Linked DNA regions of Bombyx mori. The main gene of each other region encodes a partner of the protein of the gene in region 2 in a complex. Links are inferred from orthologs where the notes say so. Each region holds a gene or a part of one and is shown on either strand. Other genes may lie near its edges. The genes, in order: nuclear pore complex protein Nup85, nuclear pore complex protein Nup214, nucleoporin Nup188, nuclear pore complex protein Nup98-Nup96, PCI domain-containing protein 2 homolog and nuclear pore complex protein Nup205.

Region 1 (3,232 bases), about 8.4 Mb from region 2:
CTCAGTTCCGGCCTATATCTATACTTCCTTTTCTTTCCAAAGTCCTTGAGCACATTGTCCACCGTCAGCTGTCGTCTTTTCTCCTCTCCCACAATCTTCTTAGCTCCTTCCAATCTGGTTTTCGCAAGGGCCACAGCACGGTTACAGCTCTTCTAAAAGTGACCGATGACATTCGCTGGGCCATGGAAAACAAACAACTAACTTTATTAGTGTTGTTAGATTTCAGCAGCGCTTTTAACTCTGTTGACTTCGATGTTCTGCTCGAAATACTCAAATCAAACAATATCTCCTCATCTGCTATTAACTGGTTTGATAGTTACCTTCGGGGGCGCTCGCAATGTGTCCGTCTTGACGAGATTTTCTCGGATTGGCAGAACGTCAGTGCGGGCGTTCCCCAAGGTGGTGTTCTTTCTCCTCTTCTGTTTTCTGTGTTTATAAACTCTGTCACTAGGCTTATATCTTCTAAATTCCACCTCTACGCAGACGATCTCCAGCTATATCGCCACTTCTCGGAGCCTGAAGTTGAATCGGCTATTGCTGCGATGAACAGTGATCTGAAGTCTATCAGTGAATGGGCAAAAGCCTACGGTCTGCACATTAATCCGGGAAAATCACAGGCTATCATTATAGGGGGTAAACAATTGCGCAGTAGACTCAGCGATCCTATACTCCCCCCAATTTATTTGGATGGGACTCAAATAACTCTAACCGATTCAGTTAAAAACCTGGGTGTTATTGTAGATCGACATCTTTCGTGGAGTTCTCACGTTGCTGAGATTAGTAGGAAGGTGCACTTTGCCTTGCACTCGTTGAGATGTCTGCAGGGCTTCTTACCTCAGCATACAAAAATATCTCTCGTCCAAGCTCTCATTCTACCCATAATTGATTACGCCGATGCCTGCTACTTGGATGCCACTGAGGAGCTCTCAAACAAGCTTGAGAGGATGCAAAATCTATGTATCCGTTTTATATACAATCTCAGAAAATTCGATCATGTTTCTCATTTTCGCAAAGAACTTAAATGGCTCCCTATACGCCTTCGTAGGAATACTCGAATATTATGTCTCCTATTCAATATCCTACATAAGCCCACTTCTCCCTTATATTTACGTGAGCGATTCTCTTTCATTCGTTCTCCTGATGCTCCCTGCAGGTCCAACCAACGTTCTGTTTTGTTATTCCCTTCCCACAAAACCAATTTCTATTCTCACTCCTTTACTGTGCACGCGGTCAGACTGTGGAATTCGTTGCCGGCTGACATCCGAGTTTGCAAGTCTGTTTCCGTTTTTAAATACAAGGTCAAACAATTTTATCTATCATCAACCGAATGATCATGGTTCTATACTCTTCGCATATACGAGTGTTACTGTGTTACTTTTAATATTTGCTATGTGTATGTGCTATAATTCTCATGTTGTATTTGTTATTTTAGTTATGTGTTCTACACACACTTATCACTTTTTATTATTATTCTCATTATCCTCTCGCAGGTCTGCTGGAAGAGATTTCTCAAAGAAATAAGCAGTGCCTTTGTACATAATTTTCCTATTACTCTGTACTGTGTCTTGTTTTCTGTGTGTACATAAATAAATAAATAAAATAAATAAATAAATTTTAAATGGTGTAATTAATATTAATAGACAAACCTGAGCAGTTAGCTTAATACATCTATTTACAGCACAAATAAGTGAATAATTGCCCTCAATTTGGCAATACAAAGGTAGAACAAATTTTAAATCTCAAGATTAAAAAATACAATTGAGTTAACTAAAAATTGGATTTACCCAATTGACATTTCCAGGTAATTCATGAAATCCAGCATATAACAGATAATGGATGGTTTGCAACACATCTATCAGACATATTGTATCATTGTGGAAAATTAAAAGTATTGGATAAACACCAAAATAAGTGAGTAGGATTTGAGAATTTTCTGTTTTATTGTCTCTTACTTTTTGAAGTCCTTGTGGCCTGCGAGAGATGACATGCGTTGTGTTTGCATCGAGCCATACTATGGTGCCAGTTATTGAATCTTGCAGGCTGTTATCAATTTGTCTGTACTCAACAAATGTTCACGATTGACTTCAACAGTGAAGGAATAACATTGTTTATTGCATAGTTACTGGTGGCAGGGCACCTTGTAAGTTAGCATGGGTAGGTGCCACTGCTTTTCCCGTTTTTGCTGTGAAACAGTAATACGTTTCGGTTTTAAGAATGGGGCATACTGAGAAACTGATTTAGAATTAATATCTTAAGGCGGGTGGCCGCATTTACGTTGTTGAGGTCTCTGGACTCCGGTGACCACTTAACGCCAGGTGGGCTGTAGGCTCGTCCACCAATCTTAGCAATAAATAAATATCAATATAAAAAAAACTATTTAACCTCATTGATGTTGAGGTTTCGATTGTGTTCAAACCATCTTTAAAACTAATCATGAATAATCATCCAATCATAATTAATCATTTTTTAATATTTGATTGTGTCAACTTTTAGTTAAAAAGTATTAATCAATCTTGAAATATGTGGCAGTATTGCATTCATTGTGTATCATTGTTCATCCTATAGGTAAAAGTTACCACAAGCAGGGCCTGTGAGCCTAGCTATCTTCACTTATAAATGAAAATAAGTGTCACATTTTTTTACTGCAATCTCATTTTTTTCTCCAGAAGAAGAACATTCATGCTTAATTTGAGTAATAATATTATTTTTATAGTGTAACTCAACGTCTCCGAGACAGTTTAATTCTTGAATATGGAACCTTGATAATGGAGCACAAGTCACTCTGGTCCGTCGGACTATCCTACCTTGCTTCATGTCCCCCTGAAGGTCTATGCCGAGCTCATTTGTTGCTAGAGAGGATTCCGATCAATACTCATGCCAAAGCTATGAGGGTTGTTGCTGAAGCTAATAAATATGGACTTTTGGAAGTTGGTAAGTACATGAAGTATTACTATGAATTTAATTTGAATGTGGCAGTCTTTCGTGCCTATGGTATATAATATATGATTTCCAAATGGAATTCTTAAGAAATTATTTGATAAAAACCAGGAAGGAGTAGTATTATGAAAATAAAAAAAATGGGAAAGCTGCTTCATAGTTAATTTGAACTCTGATAACCATTAATAAGTTAAATTAACTAGTAACTCCTACGAGACCGTTTCCAATATGCAGCATGAGTTTGTTGATGAATTGTGTGGTGGTTGGTTGCAGGCGAGGGCGTGTGGCGCGTGTT
Region 2 (3,500 bases):
GTCCGGTACATTAGAGATGGTGGGTGCAAATGGGGTAGTTGGTTTCATACCAAACAGGTTGGTAATAGGTTTATTAACCTTCTTGCTGTCGGCTGGTTTTGCTGCACCTTCAGGTTCGCCGGTTTCACTGGATTTCACAGAAGCGACAGTCACAGGTTTGGGTTCAAAAACCACAGGCTGTGTTTGAGCACTCGAAGACAAGCTATTTTGACTAAGTCCAAGATTCGCTGTCGACTTATTGGCCGGCACTAACGATTCCGCAGTAGCTGGTTGATCTAAATTTTACAACAAAAGCATCAGTTGGGTATAATTACAAAAAAATATGTACGAAGTCTTATCTTTTGTTTTAACCTTACTTGAGAACGGAGAAATAGGTGAGCATATTTTCTGTCCCATGAATTGCTTCAAGTCATTGTTAGGCGTTTGATTTGAAGACATATTAGGTACAGGCGATGTGTATGAGAATGGGGGTGGTGCATAGCAAACTCCAGTAAAATTAAAAGATTCAACAGGAATTCTAACTCGGGGTTCTTCGGGCTTCGGTTCTGGAATTGTTATTATTATTTTATTAATACATTATTTACATAATCTGTTGAAAAATTTTTGCAAATTTTCAGGCTTAAACAACTAAATTGTGGACTAAAAATAGAAAATAAGTACACGGGCACTGATTATTTTTCTAAGTAATCTCCTCATAACACACAGTAATTGCAATCCTTGTTTACATTGATTAGGCTAAGCATTACTGACATTGAGTTGGGAAGGCGATGAATGACCAGTATGATTAAAGATATTTAGTACACACATAAGTATGAAATATTCAACAAACATGCAATCATACAACCATACCGGTAAACAATGTTCTAGTGACGTTTTGAAGTCCCGGTACTGAGGGTTTGCTCTGAATGGGCGAGAACGGCGCTACTGTCTCGGTAAATTGTTTTGTTTCCATTTTAGGTTCAGCTTTAATAACATCTTTAAGGGGCACTGAAAATAAGACAAGGAAATTAGATTTCTGTATTATATGAGCATTTCTCAAAATTATTGCACAATAGACTTTAGCCTCTGTCCCATTTTTTTAATATTTTGTTCCGGCTAATATATTAGTTCATTACTACTTTTTATAAATTGTGTAAGCAGTATAACTACTCTACTTATTAGAAAGGAAAAAAACAGATTTAAATACAATGAGATTTTTTCATTAAAAATATATATCATAAATCAGCTTCAACCAGTTGTATGAAAAGTGCAGTGTCCCAATCTCAATATCTTACCAAACCATCGATCTTTAGTTGAATGGACATGGGCATTGTATAAATAAAAAATATTATTTATTTATAGCCATAAGTCACAATTCATCCTAAAACATCCTTTTTAGCATTACTTTATAATTAAATTTCTAATTAATGATTTTAACTTGTCCCGTAAAAAGTTCCACCTAGAAATTCCAGTTTTTGTTACCATAATTCTGAAGAAATATGATAATCGATTAATGCAGTTATATTTTAGAATAATGGTAGCATTAGCCGGCTTGGCATCCGTCTTGTTTTAATTTCGACTAGTTCTTTCTGGTGCCGGTACGAACGGTAAAAGTCAATATTTAAGCTAGCGGTCAAAAAAAAAATTCCACCTTTGTTACTCATAAAACATAGATAAGTGCAGATTTTATTGTTATTTCACTTAACCTACTATTAAAGCTCCCATTCTTGATTTCGTTAATCAAATCGAAATAAGAGTAATCGTGTGAGTTACATGTGTTTACAAATAAAATGACATGTTGTTCTTGATTTGTTACTTCTTTTTTTGTTACTTTTGTGTGGTAACGTATAAATGGAAAAGAGAGTAACAAAATAGGAAATCATTAGGCTGAGTATATATAATATATTATTATTATTATTTAACTTTCTGTTTAAAATAATTTTATAATAATTATTGCAATTACAACGGCGTCAATTTCTTTGTTTTTTTTGTTGTACTATTACAGATTTGTACTATGAATTTATTTTATATTATTTATTTATATAAATCAGTAAGTGAGATGTCAGAAGACGAAAAAAATAAACAAAGACAAAAGTGGCGTGCCTGTGTTTACACCTTGGCCTATCATGGCCTTTTTCTTCGACACATTTTATCAAGGCACCGATATGTTATTCCAGATTCGTCTAATAATCCGCTGCATTTTGTATCAAGTATGAACGCTGTAGAAATAAAAATATTATTACGTTGTCCATTTTTTTGGTGCCAAAGATGTGATTATGATTTATACGATCACTATCCAGCCGATGAATGTGATTATTGCTATTAAAGGTTTTTACTGAATTAGAAACCGTTAGGCCTCCTTTTCATTATGATTAAAAAAGAACTGAAACGATATTTTTGTTACCTACTCGTAAATGTTCCTAAATATTTGAATAGGGTATTTTTTAAACGAAAAATGTTTAAATGTCCTTTGACAGCAGTTCATACTATAATCTACATATATAAATATAATTATAATTATTTTTAACACGGGTCAAAGTTTATTATAATTTGAACTACTTCGAAAACTAGCCTTATAAAATCCTAGTTTGTTACCAATATTCCATTTTTGTTACTGTCCCATAAAAGCGGACACGTATTTCTTTTCAAATTTTTTATTTATTATCTTAAAACCTGCAATTTTTTTTAAAAAAGCAAAAGAAGTGTATTGTTATTTCATTTGTGAACGTATTTAAAAATAAAACAACATCAAAACTTCTTTACTGTGATTTTAAAACAAAGTTGTGGGCAAATGGTAACGTAAAGGATATATTACAACTTATATAAGTAACATTTTGCTGTAAATGTTAACAGTTTTTTATAGACACGTAAAATGATGGTTATGTCACCCTATTGAAATGCATAAAAGTTGACGAAATTGATTTGGTGTTTTAATTAACGTAATTGATAGACGGTAACAAAATAAGAATATTTCTCCACCTTGGTATATTTCTACACATTTCTCTACTTTATTACATATTAAACCTCAGAACAAACCTCATATTCAAAATCTTTAGACACCTATCTACAAATGAAAACAAAAAAAATGCTCTAGTTTAACATTTTTATTTTAGTACATTATTTTATTGGTGGTGCATTTATTTTGAGAAATGCTCATATATATTGTAAGGAGCCTCCGAAACATCGCCATCGAATACTCGGCAAGCCTATATAAGGAGGGTACCTAGATAATTCCGCACATTTTGCTCGTTACACTCGCAGTGCACGGACGTTTGGCGATAATCAGTGTTAGATGTACCCCCACTAGCTAAACGCACTATACCGTTACCGAGTAAGCCTATAAAAGCACCGTATTTGGCGCGGCTCGGCGTGCTCACGTGCGACTGCTCGGGTCGTATCTGGAGGGCAGAATCTTCTTTGTCGCGGTCGAGGGCGCACGGTCTTCCGTGCGTCCCATTACGGCCGGGGTTCCCCAGGGTAGTGTCCTATCACCTATTCTATACGCCCTCTACACTAACGAC
Region 3 (3,955 bases), on a different chromosome or scaffold from region 2:
ACAGTTCTAGGGAATCCATCAAGTAAGAAACCATTCTTGCACTCAGGTTGATCCAAGTTCTTGTCAATCATATCAACCACCATTTCATCGGAAACAAGTTTGCCCTCATCCATGACCTTCTTAAGGCGTCGTCCCAGGTCTGATCCCGATGAGACTTCAGCACGCAGCATGTCACCAGTGGATAGGTGACAAACACAATACTTTTCTTTCAGACGAGGAGCCTAATGATAATAAACAAGTTCTCATGTATTTCAAAAATTGAATAACTGGCTTCATTATTGAATTTCTAATTTATATTTCTAATTATTAAATACTAATCATTAATTAAGTATTTATAATTATTAGCCTCAATGATACTTAAGTAATAATCAAATATTCACTATTAGTTATAATATGAGATAAAGAAGGCCAAAGTTCAATTAAACCACATACCTGAGTCCCCTTACCGGATCCAGGAGGGCCAAGTAGCACGGCCCTTATTCCTAAAGGATCCTCATCAGGTTTTAGTTTCGTGGCTGCAGCGGCCGGTGCCATATCATCAAATTCTTAAGCCTTCAATTAATTAGAGCCCTGTACAGACAAATCTGTCAAAGTTAGAATTGCAGAGGTGTTGTAACTACGTTTAGATATGCGTAAATTAGCACGTGATATAGTAATCAAAAGTTCAATTGCAATTTACATGATATCTTAAAAAATTATCAAAACTTTTTAAATGAATTTAATTCCACTCACCGAAATAGCCGACAGGCAAAGGGAAACAAAGTCCATAACGAAAAAATTATAAGGTGAGAAAAGGTCAAAGCCATACATATTTAATTCAAAACAAGTGGATTAAATAAAAATAAAAACACTTAGAATGAGGTTAGAACTCATCTCGAATTTAAATAAAACTGTAATTAAAGCATTGGTGAATTTTGTGAGGAGGCTCCAAAGGACTTTTTGAAGTAGCGGAGAAGTTATTTTTTTTATGAATTTAGTTATTAAAATTTTAATCAATAATAAATTGTTTGTATTTTTTATTTTTATGTTAATCAAATTGATTTAATTCTTTGTTTAACAGACGAAGCTCAATTGTTTTAAAAATATGAATGACTTATGTACTCTTTGCCTCTGAAATCGATAAAAAATATATACTTTGACAACAATAGTTGCACTTGACATTAGCATCATAGCCTCGCATAACCTGAAAATGAAGAGGCGGTAAATATTTATACGAAACTGTTTTCTATAATTTCCACTTTTAAAATTTTATTCTGTACCTAATATATGTCAAACCGGCTGGTCGTACTAGTTCTGTACTGCAATCAAGTTAAGTATGACAACGAGTAGTGTAAAGTAAGTTTCGTTCGTTAATTTTAAGTATTTAGTTTAAGCATTTCTGTATTTAACTACAAATTTCAGTTATTGGAAGAGGCTATGGCGCTGGACAACTTCGGAGAGTCTGACTACAGAAGAATTGACCAAAATTTTTGATACAAAAGAAGTAAGAGATGGACTTAAAATTGGATTGGCTAGTTACAAACAAAACAAGCCTGAGGACTTTACCAAACTTCAGTCACAGTATCCGGATCAAACAAAGCTGCTCACTATAGTGCAGACACTTCAAAATTATATTGTGAGCTGATATTTCAAATATATTACGTTTAATAAAATATTTGGGAATTTTGTTGTGTGTAATTCCTGTAGTTTTCAGTTAATAATACTATGAATTTTCTTGCAGGATGTCGACTGTTTTCAATTATGGGAAATATTAAAAAACTATTTGTGTGATATATCGTATGGTACACCTGAGAGTGCATTAAAGAATGTTGCATTTGTTGACACCCGACCTACATATTTGTCTCCCAAAGTATGGAGCTTCTATTATTCTGAGCGACTCTTTCTACTCAAATTGCTTCAGTACATCATTCAGCTTAAAGATGATGCTCAATATAAATATCAAAAGGAATTCACCAAGATTATTGAAGATATTGGCATACAAAACATTAAAACCTCACTCATATCTCAATTTGAAAAGGTCTTAAGTGCTGCTCCACCATCTAGAAAAATATTGAGTGATTTTTCTAATGATTCTGTGCGACACACTTGGTTAGAGAGTAATTTGAGAGAACAATTAGCAATACTTCAAATACTCTTAATAATTGCGGAAAAGAACACATTTCAAGCTGAAGAATTCAAAAAATTGTTTAATTTGTTCATAAAACACAGTTTTGGGAAGAATTATGGGTTCAGTGAGTTCCTGGGAGAAAGACACAGAGAGCAATGCCTCTGTATTATGTACATGGAAGTTTGCCTGTTTATGATCATTATTGATCATTTGAAAATGTAAGAATTTGGTGTAAACATTGTAATTTATTTTTCATTGTTTTATTCAATTTATTTTTGGCACTATATATAACATATTGGTGTTGTAATTTACTTTGGCTTGGCTGTGACATTTCAGTGATAATTTATCAACATGGATAGAAAATACTAAAGAAGTTGTAGAAACTGAATTGACAAAAATTCAAATGTGTACAGAACACAGTGCCATGCTTTTGACGTGGATGCTGGTAACGTTGCAGGTAATTATCAGTTTTTTAATTAAGGTATTCATCATGCAAAGCTTACTTGAAGGTTTAGGTGCTTTTAGGCACTACAAGCACCGGTCATCGTCCTCGTCGAAACCGTCGCTTGCGACGAAGGGCTCGACGAGCGAATTAACCCACAGACACAGCCCACTGAGTTTCTCGCCGGATCTTCTCAGTGGGTTGCGTTTCCGATCCGGTGGTAGATTCTGCGAAGCACTGCTCTTGCTAGGGTCAGTGTTAGCAACCGGTTTGAGCCCCGTGAGCTCACCTACACACGCTAGGGTAAGCTGAAATAAACTCTCAAGGCTATCAGCATAGGTAGGAAAAAAAACCAGAAGGTTTATAATCAACGTTGCTTAAGAATAATATTGTTGAAAGAAAAACAACCAATATCTGATTTTTATGTAATAATATATATATATATTATTACATAAAAATATATATATATTTATAGGTAATAAACCCGAATGTGCTGTTTTGAGACACTGGGTTCATATACGTACCCATATACCAGGAGCCTCAAAGCAGCGCAGATTTGTGAATTAAATGTTTAAATGTTTTAATTGCTAATTTTAATTTTAATTTTAATTTTACTAACATAGTTCTAAGTATTATTCTACTTACAACATAATAATATGGACTTAAGAGGGTCTGAATTAAATGAATTTTATTTTTTTTATTTTTTATGTCACAGCTGGGCAGAACAAATGACAAATCTTTTTTAAAGGATTTATGTAGTGCAGAACTTTTACTATCTTGTAGAGTTCTCTTGACATTCGTTACATAATAATATGAAATACTTACTAAATATATAGCAAGTCAACGACATTGATTTGTAGAAAATAGCCCTGTAATCTATACCAAAAAGTATATTTACACTACTCAGTAAGGCTCATAAATTTTTTTGTTGAACATTGTGTTATTGTTACAGAGTGATCAACATGTAAAATTATTTGAAAGCCAATATCAACATTTTGGCAGTACTGCAATGAAGATGAAAGTGTTTGAGTTTCTTCAACAGATGCTGAACAGTCCTGTATTCTCAGTAAGTATTCATTCACACATTCATTACCGTAACCTTTAAAAATATTTTGTGTTATTTCATATCTATTCTGAATTTTCAATATAAATTATTATCTAACATAAGATTAAGATAAATGAAGGAACCTTTCAACGTTTTATTTGAACTGCTTACTCATTTTGGTTTGGTAAATGTTACCCTTAACAAACAAGACAAAATATAGGTATATAAAGGAAAGTCCTAAAATCCTGACTTGATTTATAACTGAAAATTTGTATTTTCATATACATCGTCTGTCTATCTATCTGCATGTCTGTCTATCTATCATGATCATTCATTTAGGACAGCCTTTCCCAAAGTAGGC
Region 4 (4,116 bases), on a different chromosome or scaffold from region 2:
CATGCATCGGCCCGCTAAGTTTCTCGCCGGATCTTCTCAGCGAGTCGTGATTCCGATCCGGTAGTAGATTCATTCACGAAGCAGTTGCTCTTGAGTTGTTAGGTCTCGTTTGGAGGCGTTTGGGCAGCTGTTAGCTAATCCCAACCCTCCTGGCTGAGCCCGTGCTCACCCACCTGTCCTGGTAAAACTGGAAAGGCCTCTGAGCCACCAGTAATCCATCATTCATAAGAAAAAACCTTTAAAGACCGGAACGCATGTTTATGGACACACTCTAGAAAACTTGGATACGTTCCGTCATGACATATTCAAGTGTAGTGTTCGCTCACGCGCTCCACACTCACATAAACTCCAGGTCAGCCAATCCCGTTTCTACAAGATAGCCTTCGAAGCACATTAGTATGTAAGGAATTAACGACATCCAATTAAAACCAACACGTGAAGGTACCGTCACAACGCTTCTTCGAAAGAGCGGTGCGACGCGATAACCTTTTTATTGTGGCTGTCTTTAACTACATAATCGTCACAGACGACGGGGCACATCGGGACACTCCCGATTCACTCTCGGTGCTTTCAGACTGTCTAAGCACTGATCACCGCTCTCATCGAACTCGTCAATTAACCCATAGACACAGTCTAATGTCTTTCTCATCGATTTTTTTTGTGGGTTGCGATTCCGATCCGGTATTAGATTCAGCGAAGCACAGTTTTTGTTCTGGGTCAATGTTAGCTCGGGTTAAGCCAGTACTTGCTGGATCATGACGGAAATAGACAGTGTAATAATCCACCACCAGTAAAATTAGAGGAAGAGGCAGAGAGAATTATAAAGGAAAAAAAAATAAAAAAAGTCTTCTGTGGTTTAATTAAATAAAACCATATTTTGAAGTGACTTTTCGACATCATTGTGAAGAAGATTTTGACTTCCAAACAGATTTTAATAAATTAAACTACGAGTGTGACGTTATTATCGAATTTCATGCAAACCTAAGTATAGCCCTTTTCAAGTTCCAAGGAAGTCTGGAAGACACGTTTTATATTAATCTAAGTTACATAACAAAGGAGTTGGCATTGTTGTTACTTATGAACTAGTCTGATTTATCAATTCTTAGTTCCTTGGCATAAGAAAACAGCCTTGTTAATTCCACTTTTTAATTTTATGAGCTATGTTAGTGACTTGGGATCTCGGTCTGGCCATTGCCCTAATCGAATTTTAGCGATCTTGGATTATGTAGTAATATTTTAAAAACTTATTAAAATTTATTTGTCCATGATTTGTTTTTTTTTTCTTAAAAATTAAATTTTTAAATGGATTCAACAATCTAAGTTGAAATTGTCGATGGTCAGATCATTGTTTTGTTTACCTACTGAAGCCGATGTATTCTGCGTTTTCTTCTTAATAACAAGTATTATATGTAATTAAGTACTATTAAAGTGAACAAGAAAAGGAGAACGGTTTTTCGTGCATTTAAAGCCGCACAACAATCTTTCGATACGAACACGGTAAGATTCTTGAGTTTCCAACGTTATGTCGATTACCCGACCGATTTGTAAGATCCTAATTTGAATTGATAAAATAACAATAGTTGAGATAATAACCACGAAATTTGTGTTTATACTTGTTACGAAGTATTAGTGAAAACTGTAAATTAGGTAATTGAAATATCTTCGAAACATCTTCGTTATTTTTAATTTCTTGCTTATTATACCATCCTCAAAAACATAAATCAAACGAGTATTGCGACACTCTTAATTTCGTTTGGTTTTACCTCAAAATTGACGTCACACGTTTTGGTTGCAAAATTTTCTAATAAAATTGTGAAATTCGTTGTGCAATAAAAAGCTAATATAAATAAGCATACAGCAACAATGCTTTACGGTTGCGAGTTATCGCTATAAAGTGCAATACCAACGGAAATTCTCTAAACGTCTTGTGGTTAGGTTAAGTACTGCGTCTAAAATTTAAAATTAATAGAATTCAAATAGACACAGAGTTATATTTAAAATACGTTTTGCAATAAAAGTGAATAAATTGAAAGAATTTAATAGTAAAATTCAAAAATACTATTGTTAGAAATTCTGATAATAGTGTAGGTATTTGTATACTTTTTTCAATATTTTTATTTTTGATTTTAAAAACGACTAATCTTATAAAATATAAACTAAAATCTAATTAAGGTTAAGTTTTGTAAAATTTAAAAGTATTTTTTTTTTGTAAAACTTAGTGATATTTTTATTGTCTCTAGAGAGAAACTAGCAGTTGTCTTTGAAAACAGTAACATTGCCTTTGTAGACAGACATTCTATTAATTTTCAAACACATATAAACCGACAATTATGGCAGTCATCACGAAACATGAACTTTTGAAGTGGAATGACTGAATTATTCCTAAATGACTTTATTCTAGGCTATCAGAAACATCATAACTCCCAACTGTATGAATTCAGAGGAAAAAATTGTCTTCTCACTGACTATTTTACCAACAAAGCTATGGTCTTACTAACAGTATTATAAACTAAACACGTTGCACACTGGCATTACAGAGTCCTATGAGCCTGTATGGGTAGATACCACTGTCATGCCTGTTTTTGCTATGAAGCAGCAATATATTACGGCTTTAAGCAGGGAAAAGCTACAACTAACTTAGAACTCATCTCTCGAGGTGGCTGGCGGTATTTATGTTGTTGATGTCTAAGGGCTGCAGTAACTCCATAAAAAGGAATTCCAAAGAAACCAAATAACATTAGGCTTAGTGGTGATTAAAATTGTTGATTTGGCCAACATATTCAAATAGATAAGATCTTGGAATTATGATCCAATTTAATCTAATTATTTCATTAAATTTTTTTATTACTATACAACTGGGACATGGATCTCACGTTTTTAGGTGGGTGGTGGCATTATGTGCTCTGCTAGCCACTTAACCAAGCCAGGACACCCAAGAGAACGCTCACACTTCAATACTTTTAAAAAAATTATTAAAGGGGTTGTCGTTCTAATGAACTATTTGAAATTTATCTATAGTTTGAGAACCACACCAGCTGTAGCTGGAGCAGTTCTCATTCCTAATACCCGGAACTGTCATAGTTTTTGCCGCATACTGTGCACTATTTCTCAAGCACACAGGACATGTCTTAGAATAAGGATGTGTTTCAAACATAGCCTTTAGGATTGAAAAGTTGCATAATAATTTTGGCCATGGTTTTATTGGTTACCGATAGTGTTTTTTTATAGCTTTGATGGGTGGACAAGCTCATGGTCCACTTGGTGTTAATTTTTTTTTATTGCCTTTGTAGGCAGACAAGCATACGGCCCACCTGATGGTGAGTGGTTACCGTCGCCCATGGACTTCAGCAATGCCAGGGGCACAGCCAAGCTGCTGCCTACCGCTTAATACTCTCCACAAGCCTCATTTGAATAAACTGGTAACCTAACCCCATAAGAGATCTGCAATGTAGATGCCACCACCCACCTCAAGATATGAGTTGTAAGGTCTCAATTTGAACAGTACAATGTTGGTGAACAACACCTGGGCCCATATCTGTCTGAAATCAAAGACTATAAAAAAGTTAATATGGGAAATAAATTTAAATAATATTTTTCCTTATAAATTTCACTATAGCATGACTCATTTGTGACCTTTTACTTTCATTCTTGGAATATCTGTGTCATGACATTGATTTCATAATTGAACACACTGAACCACTGTGTAATAAGATCCTTCTACTCTTGGTCATTATATATAAAGAGTCCTATTCATAAAACATGTTTTAATTTCAAGAACATTTTACACTGCATTTTGTTACATGATAGTGTAGCCATCTGTTATTGTGTATTGCTGAAGCAAGCACCAGTATTTTGTTAATAAAACAATGTTTGGACTAAATAATATATTGTACTACTAATAAAAATATATTATATGTACCCACAAACTATAAAGTAAACATAAAATTTGAAATAATTAAACTCTTACAAACTACGAAATGAAAAGGGTACTATTTGAAGTAGCTGTATAAAAACAACTATATACCAAAAAAAATATAATAGGGTAACATAAACAAAAAAATTTACAAACTTTAAAATAAAACAAAAAGGTTTCTTTATATAAGACTGATTAATAGC
Region 5 (3,966 bases), on a different chromosome or scaffold from region 2:
TTCTATTTTATTTAATGACAACCCTAAACACATTAGTGCTACTAAAATAAAAAAACTGGACTACTGAACTGTTTTGTGTATTTTTATGGATATTATATGTAATCAAAAAGAAAGTATTTAAATAGTGAAATTGCGTCAGATATACAATTGCTCATCATCACATTTCACTTAATCAGCCTTTATGCTAATGGAATCTTAATTTTTATTAAAACAATCAAAAAATTAAGTGTGTATTCCCCTAGGTATTATTTAAATGGTATAAATTTAATACAGACTAGATAATGGAGGAAAAGCATTTTGTTTACTGACAACCACTTTCTTGTGTTGGTATGAGATGTATCCTTTGATTTTTCCATCATATATGAGATTTGCAACAATACATTGAGTTTCATCTGAATCAACATCTTCCTGTCCCATGATTTGTAATGCTGCCTCGAAGCTGGCTATGTCTATCTGATGTGAATTCTCCGCTAAATATACTTTCCTAAACAAATTTCTGTATGCTGTAATCTTTAATTTTTCTACAATCAAATAAATACCAGCCGTTATGAAGAACTTTTCATGTTCCTCCATAACCATATCGATACCACGCAAATCTCCATTTTTCACAGCTGATATTAGATCCCAGAATTGTAGCAAATCATATTTCTCTAGTAAATATTTTGCGGGCATGAAACCCAACAGCATTTTCACAGGAACTAAATAAGTTAGAATGAGCCTTTTATTTCGTATGCTTCTTCTGTGACAATTTTCAAAAGCAAACGATAAGTATTCATCAGCTAGACGATAGTCTGAGTCAAACATGGCTTTACGACCCACAAAATATCTGTATGTAATTTGTTGGGCCAGTGGGAATTGATCTTTGAATGGTGAAGAATCAATGGCTCTAATCAATGGTTTGCAAAGGTGGAGCTTGTTTATCCTGAAATATACTTTAAGAAGTTGGTTTACAAGACACAACATGCCTATCTTTTTGGTATCCACATCTGAAGCTCTGTTGTCAGCAGCACAGACTCTGAAGCAAGCTAATAAGCTCTCTGCTGCTTTTTCCATAATTTTACTGCCATTTTGAGCTGAAATATTGACAAATGAAATTAATTGTACAGAATACAGATTATTTAACACAATATTGACTAAGACAACAACTCATGCAAGTATTTGAGATAATTTCGTTTTTTCGACATTGTACCACCATAACAGAGTTGAATCCTACCACCTGTGAATATACTGAGCACTTAGGGTTAGTCATTCTTCAAACAAGACTAAGGAGACAAATCTTGAGTAGAAGGGAACCTGCACTTAAACAGCCACCAGATGATGAGTGGTTACTAGAGTCTGTAGACGTTACTTTGTGAAGTCTGCCTTAAGTGATGAAGTTTAAGGCTGAATTGTATAGTGTAATTGCTGCACTATTCTTCAAGCTAGAATACATGATTGCTTTAGTACAGAAACAAGCAGTTTGGTAATACATACCTAGTTGTGCAAACTTATAACACAACCGACCATCATAAATACTATAAGATCTCATTTCTATGACACATTATTTTCCTTGGCATTTGAAGATTTCAATATGAGTACTCCAGGCATCTTATTCTTAATGCCCTAATCACTTGATACTATTACCATCTTATCTTAGCTCTTGAATGATGTATGCAAATTCATACTTACGGCTAGATGCCTCTGCTTTCTGTGCAACAAGTCTAAGATCTAAACATGCAGCATACATAACCGGAAGGCACCAGTTCTCTTCTTTCTGTCCCTGTAATAGCTTTACGACAGAGGCCACACATATACTCTGATGATCGTATGCCTCAATGTAATCACTTGCATATAATGCCTGGAATGCAAAGCATTTTTTTTTATTGCTTAGATCGGTGGATGAGCTTACAGCCCACCTGGTGTTAAGTGGTTACTGGAGCCCATAGATATCTACAACGTAAATGCGCCACCCATATTGAAATATAAGTTCTAAGGTCTCAGTCTCTGACCGAAATGCATTACTGCTTCTGACTACTACTGACTCAAGAGGTCTTGCCACCAGTAAAAGTATTTGACGAGAAGCTAATAAAACGATATATTTAAAATACACTTAACAGGTAATGTTCGCTGTAGTAACGGCCAGATTAATAATGGTACATTTACTATTTTTTAATCTATATTTATCAATTTAAAACCAGAATTAAATTCATATATCTCACCTTAAGACATGATAAGTGTGCAATTACAAGTTCATCTAATGGAGCAACACAATTTCCTGTGACAAGGGTTGCAATATCGCTAGATAATAGATTCCTATTGTAGACATGTTCATCTCTTAGAGACAACAGTCTAGACAATATGTTACCTTGTCCCGTTCTGTACATACGTTCCACACATTGTATGTATTGATTAAGAGTGCCAGTTATCATCGACATTGTGGTTAGGTATTACTGGATTTTTAACTTTGAATGACTAATTTTAATATACAAAATTACAAGAATGTAGTTTTTCCTATAATTTCGTCAATCGACATTTCATGATTGATATTTATCAAAGAATCAGAGTTTATTAGCGCAAAATCGGTCTCATGAAAACATTGAAATTTTGTTTTCTTTATATGTCATTTCCACTTTCCACAGCTCAACTGGAGAAAGGATAAGTTTTTCATTCCTTGGATAGGCACACGGAAAGAAGTCTATACCGCTAAAGCATTTGGAAGGCCAAGACTATACTTATTATGTGAAATGGAATGTAATTAAGTGAAATCAAATGTTTATTTATTTTTTTAGATGAAGTGAATTATAACAGCGGCAACCATACATTTTTTTTTGTTTGAGACACAAATTGCAGGCATCATACTGTACTAACGATGGGTTAATACTGATATTTGTCAATATACAAATATATTCGTTATGTAATATTATAATACCTTAACTAATACGTGAATATCCTGATATCTTAATATACTTTGATAAAACGGGTAAACGAGTTAAACCTAATACGGTATTCGTGAAATAAGTTAATAATCATAGATAATACACATTAGTTATTAATAATATAAATAGTATATTGTATCTAGGAATTTGACTTCAAGGAATCAAGAAATGAAGGTTCAAACATTAAAAAGTAATGCATTTAAAAATTCCCAAGCTGTATTACGAATATCTTAATGAATACTAATATATCGGTCTCACCCTTATACTGTACTGTGTTCCATTTAAAAAAGTAACCAGTGCAGCTATTAAAGGAATGGCTTCGCAGTATACTAATTTTACATTATATTTTACAGTGCTCCCAGTGTACATCGGAACATAGCCTTAAGCATTAACACAGGTGCGAAAAAGCTAGTGAACCACTGTTTTATACGTTTAAGCATAAAGTAAATGAACAAAATGTAACAAGTCACATTAATCCTTTTCTCACGATCCCGCCTAAAGGTCTTGAGCTTTTTGTGTCTGTTACACGAGAGTTTGTTATTTCTACCAGATAGCCAAAGGGAATCTATTTTTATATTAAATTGATGTACCGTATTTGCAGCTAAAAAATAGATAATATGTAATGCCTACACCTATCTGACGCAAACGATACATATTAAAACGAACATCAATCTGTGCACTTAATACACGAGAAGGCTTGGGACTTTTTGGCGGGAATGCGAAGAGTGAAGTTGTGAGATTTGTTTTATTAAATTTTTGTCTATTAAGTGTTTCTTCAGGTTTAAATGTGTAATAACGGTGGTTTATTAACTATTTAGTATCTGTGAAAGTGCTCGTTCGTCCCGTTTCATCTCGTCTCGTCTCGTCTCACTTCGTTTTCATTTTCATTTTCATTTTATGACATTTCGTGCATTGTTTTATATTAATCAGCTTCCTTCATTTCATACCACTTTTCATAAAAATAAAAATAAGACTTGACTTAAAGGTCCTACTTACCAGGTCATAAAATCCCTAAAAATTAAAAAAGAAGACTTTGTTGTTCTTTATTTAC
Region 6 (3,500 bases), on a different chromosome or scaffold from region 2:
AGGCAAGGTTTTCCTTTATCTCATACTGGCGGCCCGCTCCAGCTTCGCTCGGGTCTTTAATAAAAAAATCCAAATTAACCATCATAATACACACACATCAACCCTTTTATTTGCGTCTACTTACTAAAAAAAGAAAATTATAAAGATAGTTTTGAATAACCTTGGGTTACATTATTGGAGTTTTAGCAACGATCCCTATTTAAAAAAAAAAAAGAATATAGCCTATGTCACTCGGGGATAGTGTAGCTTCCAAACAGTGAAAGATTTTTTCAAATCGGTTCAGTAGTTTCGGAGCCTATTCAATACAAACAAGCAAACAAATTTTTCCTCTATATATTATTAGTATAGATTGGACAGCTTTACTTATATTTTGGAAATCGTTTACCAAAAGATAAAATTTGAAAAACTTGAGTCAATGATCGTCGGAGGAACATTCGTTAGATATAACCGCACGAGCAGGTTGAGACATGTCGGTGTCGTCAGGTGGAGTGCCGCATCGAGGAGTACCCGCTGTCGCGCGCCTTCCTGTCGCTGCTGCAGTCGCTGAGCGCGGCGCCTCCGCCCCGCACGCTGGCGGCCGGCGTGGAGCCCTACGTGCAGCACGCGCTGCTGCGCCTCGCGCTGCCGGCGCCGCACCGCCCCTACGCCCGCCCGCACGAGAAGTGGCAGGTACGAGCCTCGCACTACTGCCGACTGACAACAACAATTTACTGTCGACAAGTCTCGCTGATCGCTGGGCGCCAGTCCGGAACTTAAAATACGGCTGGCGATACGTATGTTTATTCAAAAAAAAGTGTGTGTGTGTGCAAGTCACACACGGTAGAAGTGAAACTTATAAATAAGATATAGATATAGATATACTGACTATCCCACTACACAGGAACATACATATGGATAATGTTTAGTAGACGATAGTGGGGATGCTACGAAGAGTCGCACAAAGAGGAGACCGAGAACGTCTAATGTGTTCTATCTCGTTCTCTCGCCGGCTGAATCCTATACATTTATGTGTTTGTGTCTCTATGGACTTATTTTTTCGTTTCATCGAGTTTTAAATCACAACGATTCTAAAGAAATTTCACTTCAAAAAATTGACTTCAAGTTCCTAAGTGCGTCACTACTGTTGAAATACGTTCCAGATCCTATCGCAGTGCTTCCGGCTGTTCGGCACGTGGCTGGAGCAGTACACCCCCTCCCCCGCGGACTTCCCCTCCGCGGGCGGAGACGCGGAGTGTCCGGCGCCGCCCGGCTTCAGGATCCTGCTGCAGCTGCACACCAAGTCCGAGCTGCTGCGGCTCCTGCTCTCCTCGCTCGACCAAACCTACGAACTGCTCGAGAAGCAGCCTGGATCTGCGAATGTGAGAGCTTTCGTATTGCGTAGCTACCGTGCGGGCATCCTGTTGCGGCTAACAGAGGAACAAGAGTCGTCTATAAAAATTATACTTTATTAGAATAAAAATAATCTGAAGTAATCATTGATGTAGCCAACTTTTTAGGTAAAGCACATTATTTAGTGCCTTTTGTCTTATTTCAATAGGTGTTTTATAAAATAATTTTCTTAGCTTGCGTCATGAAGCGGCCAATGTTTTTTTTTTATTGCTTAGATGGGTGGACGAGCTCACAGCCCACCTGGTGTTATGTGGTTGCTCGAGCCCATAGATCTACAACGTAAATGGTATAGTTACAACGGCTGCCCCACCCTTGAAACCGAAACGCATAACTGCTTCACGGCAGAAATAAGCAGGGTGGTGGTACCTACCCGCGCGGACTCTCAAGAGGTACTACCACCAGTTCTGGGGAATTGCAGGTTCTTGGCGGTGCGGTGCGCGCTCCCTAACGGCGCCACGACTAGATAATATTTGAGAAACATCTATGTAAATATTATTGGAGGTATTGTCGGTATGACTACAGTGAGATCAAATAACTTCCAGGAGTACGTGGAGCAGTGCCTCATTAGCGTCCTAGAGATGCTGGAGCGCGCACTCGCCCTCGAGCGGGAGCTGGGCGCGGCGGCGCTGGAGGCGGGGAAATCTGTCATTATCATCGGGCTTTCTAAACTTATACTCGGTGTGTGTTTTTTTTTGGTATCTTCAAATATATAAAAAATTGTATCATGTTGTTTGTCCGGGATAAATTTTTGTACTTTGGACACTGTGGCTTGTTAGGTCCAACTTGATGGATAGGGTAGTTTTCATATCAATTTATAATCACAATATCTCTTTGTTGCAAATGATTTCTTTAAAATCTACAAAGTGATATTTGTGAGTTCTATAAGTTTCAAAACAAATGTCGGTATGAGTTATTTATTTTCCGGGTTGGCTAAGTATCTAATAGATGACGGTGTATTGAATTTCTAACAGTTTTATTTATAAATGCATCACAGTTGAGCACTGTGGCAATTACAATGTCGAAATAATAAAGGAGTTTGTAAAGTGACACAACATGTGGTCGGTGCGTACAGAGTCTGAGAGCGCGGAGAGCGGCTGCCGACTGCTGGCGTGCTGCCGCGTGGCGGGGCTGGCCGGCGCCGCGCCGCTGCCCGCCAGCCGCGCCGTGCAGCTGCTGTGCCGCGCCGCGCTGCAGCCGCCCGCCGCGCGACACGTGCTCGCCGCCGCCACGCGCACGCCCGCACTCGCCGCGCAGATCCGGTGCGCCCCCCCCCCTCACTGTCAGAAATAACGCATGTTCCATTTTTGAACCGAGTAAAGATATCTGGTAGCTATATAACGCTTCCCATAAGTATGGATCGACTGTCAATGAACACGTTCTTTAATTTTTATTATTTTATTTGCTTAGATGGGTGAACGAGCTCACAGCCCATCTAGAGTTAAGTGGTCACTGGAGTCCATAGACAATTACTACGTAAATGCGCCAGCCACCTTGAGATACAAGTTCTAAGGTCTCAGTATAGTTACAACAGTTGCCCCGCCCTTCAAACCGAAACGCATTACTGCTTCACGGCAGAAGTAGGCAGAATGGTGTGACCTACCCGCGCGGACTCATAAGAGGTCCTATCTCCAATAAGTAACGTTTTGAGATAGATACACGGTCTCATTCACCACTCTTCGAACTGGGACAACTCATAGTTTCGCGATATAGGCAGGCGGAATTTAGGTACCTATTCATATGGGCAACAACACATCCAGCGGAAAAGAAGTAAGAGATATGTCTTGGATATTGTAATTACTGGTATGATCAAAATTCGACCAGAATCACCGACACCTCATGTTAGATTCTTTATTTTGTATTTTTTTTTAACAAAATTAATATTTTTTAAATATTTTCAAATTTATAATTGAATTTCTGTTTTCCACTGGTGTATGTGCGCGCCAGTCGACTGCGTCAGGTCCGCCTCGCTAACGTCACAGTATCTGTTGCACCAGACACGGGTTCGTGGAGTGCTTGGAAGCGGAGGAGTGGAGGAGCGGGGGCGGCGGGGAGGACGCCGCGCTGCGCCGCGCCAAGGAGGGCGTCCTCTCGCTGCTGCACCACGTGCTGCC

The links.
Region 1: nuclear pore complex protein Nup214 (region 2) and nuclear pore complex protein Nup85 share a complex: the UniProt entries of both Drosophila melanogaster proteins name them as parts of the nuclear pore complex. The link is inferred for Bombyx mori from reciprocal best matches to the Drosophila melanogaster genes Nup214 and Nup75.
Region 3: nuclear pore complex protein Nup214 (region 2) and nucleoporin Nup188 share a complex: the UniProt entries of both Drosophila melanogaster proteins name them as parts of the nuclear pore complex. The link is inferred for Bombyx mori from reciprocal best matches to the Drosophila melanogaster genes Nup214 and Nup188.
Region 4: nuclear pore complex protein Nup214 (region 2) and nuclear pore complex protein Nup98-Nup96 share a complex: the UniProt entries of both Drosophila melanogaster proteins name them as parts of the nuclear pore complex. The link is inferred for Bombyx mori from reciprocal best matches to the Drosophila melanogaster genes Nup214 and Nup98-96.
Region 5: nuclear pore complex protein Nup214 (region 2) and PCI domain-containing protein 2 homolog share a complex: the UniProt entries of both Drosophila melanogaster proteins name them as parts of the nuclear pore complex. The link is inferred for Bombyx mori from reciprocal best matches to the Drosophila melanogaster genes Nup214 and PCID2.
Region 6: nuclear pore complex protein Nup214 (region 2) and nuclear pore complex protein Nup205 share a complex: the UniProt entries of both Drosophila melanogaster proteins name them as parts of the nuclear pore complex. The link is inferred for Bombyx mori from reciprocal best matches to the Drosophila melanogaster genes Nup214 and Nup205.

What each region holds. Positions count from the first base shown.
Region 1 is NC_085123.1:525,397-528,628, reverse strand, and holds part of nuclear pore complex protein Nup85, read left to right. Parts: exon of another isoform or gene 1-175; intron 176-320; exon of another isoform or gene 321-1,775; intron 1,776-1,801; coding exon 1,802-1,911; intron 1,912-2,713; coding exon 2,714-2,931; intron 2,932-3,210; coding exon 3,211-3,232. UniProt on the Drosophila melanogaster protein: Component of the nuclear pore complex (NPC) that seems to be required for NPC assembly and maintenance. Required for nuclear import of phosphorylated Mad via importin msk.
Region 2 is NC_085123.1:8,937,261-8,940,760, forward strand, and holds part of nuclear pore complex protein Nup214, read right to left. Parts: intron 988-3,500; coding exon 850-987; intron 546-849; coding exon 357-545; intron 276-356; coding exon 1-275. UniProt on the Drosophila melanogaster protein: Part of the nuclear pore complex. Serves as a docking site in the receptor-mediated import of substrates across the nuclear pore complex including emb, RanGAP and phosphorylated Mad. Protects mbo/Nup88 from proteasomal degradation at the nuclear pore.
Region 3 is NC_085111.1:4,872,385-4,876,339, reverse strand, and holds the start of nucleoporin Nup188, read left to right. Parts: upstream 1-1,155; 5' UTR 1,156-1,315; coding exon 1,316-1,335; intron 1,336-1,401; coding exon 1,402-1,615; intron 1,616-1,720; coding exon 1,721-2,325; intron 2,326-2,443; coding exon 2,444-2,564; intron 2,565-3,501; coding exon 3,502-3,615; intron 3,616-3,955. Other genes in the region: adk2 (adenylate kinase 2), read right to left, coding at 1-221, 433-534. UniProt on the Drosophila melanogaster protein: Component of the nuclear pore complex (NPC), a complex required for the trafficking across the nuclear envelope. Required for proper protein transport into the nucleus.
Region 4 is NC_085117.1:3,515,590-3,519,705, forward strand, and holds the start of nuclear pore complex protein Nup98-Nup96, read left to right. Parts: upstream 1-1,316; 5' UTR 1,317-1,497; intron 1,498-1,531; exon of another isoform or gene 1,532-1,647; intron 1,648-1,778; exon of another isoform or gene 1,779-2,084; intron 2,085-4,116. UniProt on the Drosophila melanogaster protein: Part of the nuclear pore complex (NPC). Required for MAD import as part of the Nup107-160 complex and required for nuclear export of Moe probably via its association with Rae1. Plays a role in nuclear mRNA export.
Region 5 is NC_085115.1:3,910,084-3,914,049, forward strand, and holds the start of PCI domain-containing protein 2 homolog, read right to left. Parts: upstream 2,801-3,966; 5' UTR 2,415-2,800; coding exon 2,199-2,414; intron 1,838-2,198; coding exon 1,669-1,837; intron 1,074-1,668; coding exon 265-1,073; 3' UTR 1-264. UniProt on the Drosophila melanogaster protein: Required for the export of nuclear mRNAs and involved in mRNA trafficking in the cytoplasm.
Region 6 is NC_085121.1:1,017,873-1,021,372, forward strand, and holds part of nuclear pore complex protein Nup205, read left to right. Parts: coding exon 1-2; intron 3-483; coding exon 484-669; intron 670-1,139; coding exon 1,140-1,358; intron 1,359-1,931; coding exon 1,932-2,067; intron 2,068-2,461; coding exon 2,462-2,648; intron 2,649-3,383; coding exon 3,384-3,500. UniProt on the Drosophila melanogaster protein: Plays a role in the nuclear pore complex (NPC) assembly and maintenance, but with limited role in NPC permeability. Required for specific nuclear import pathways such as Mad import.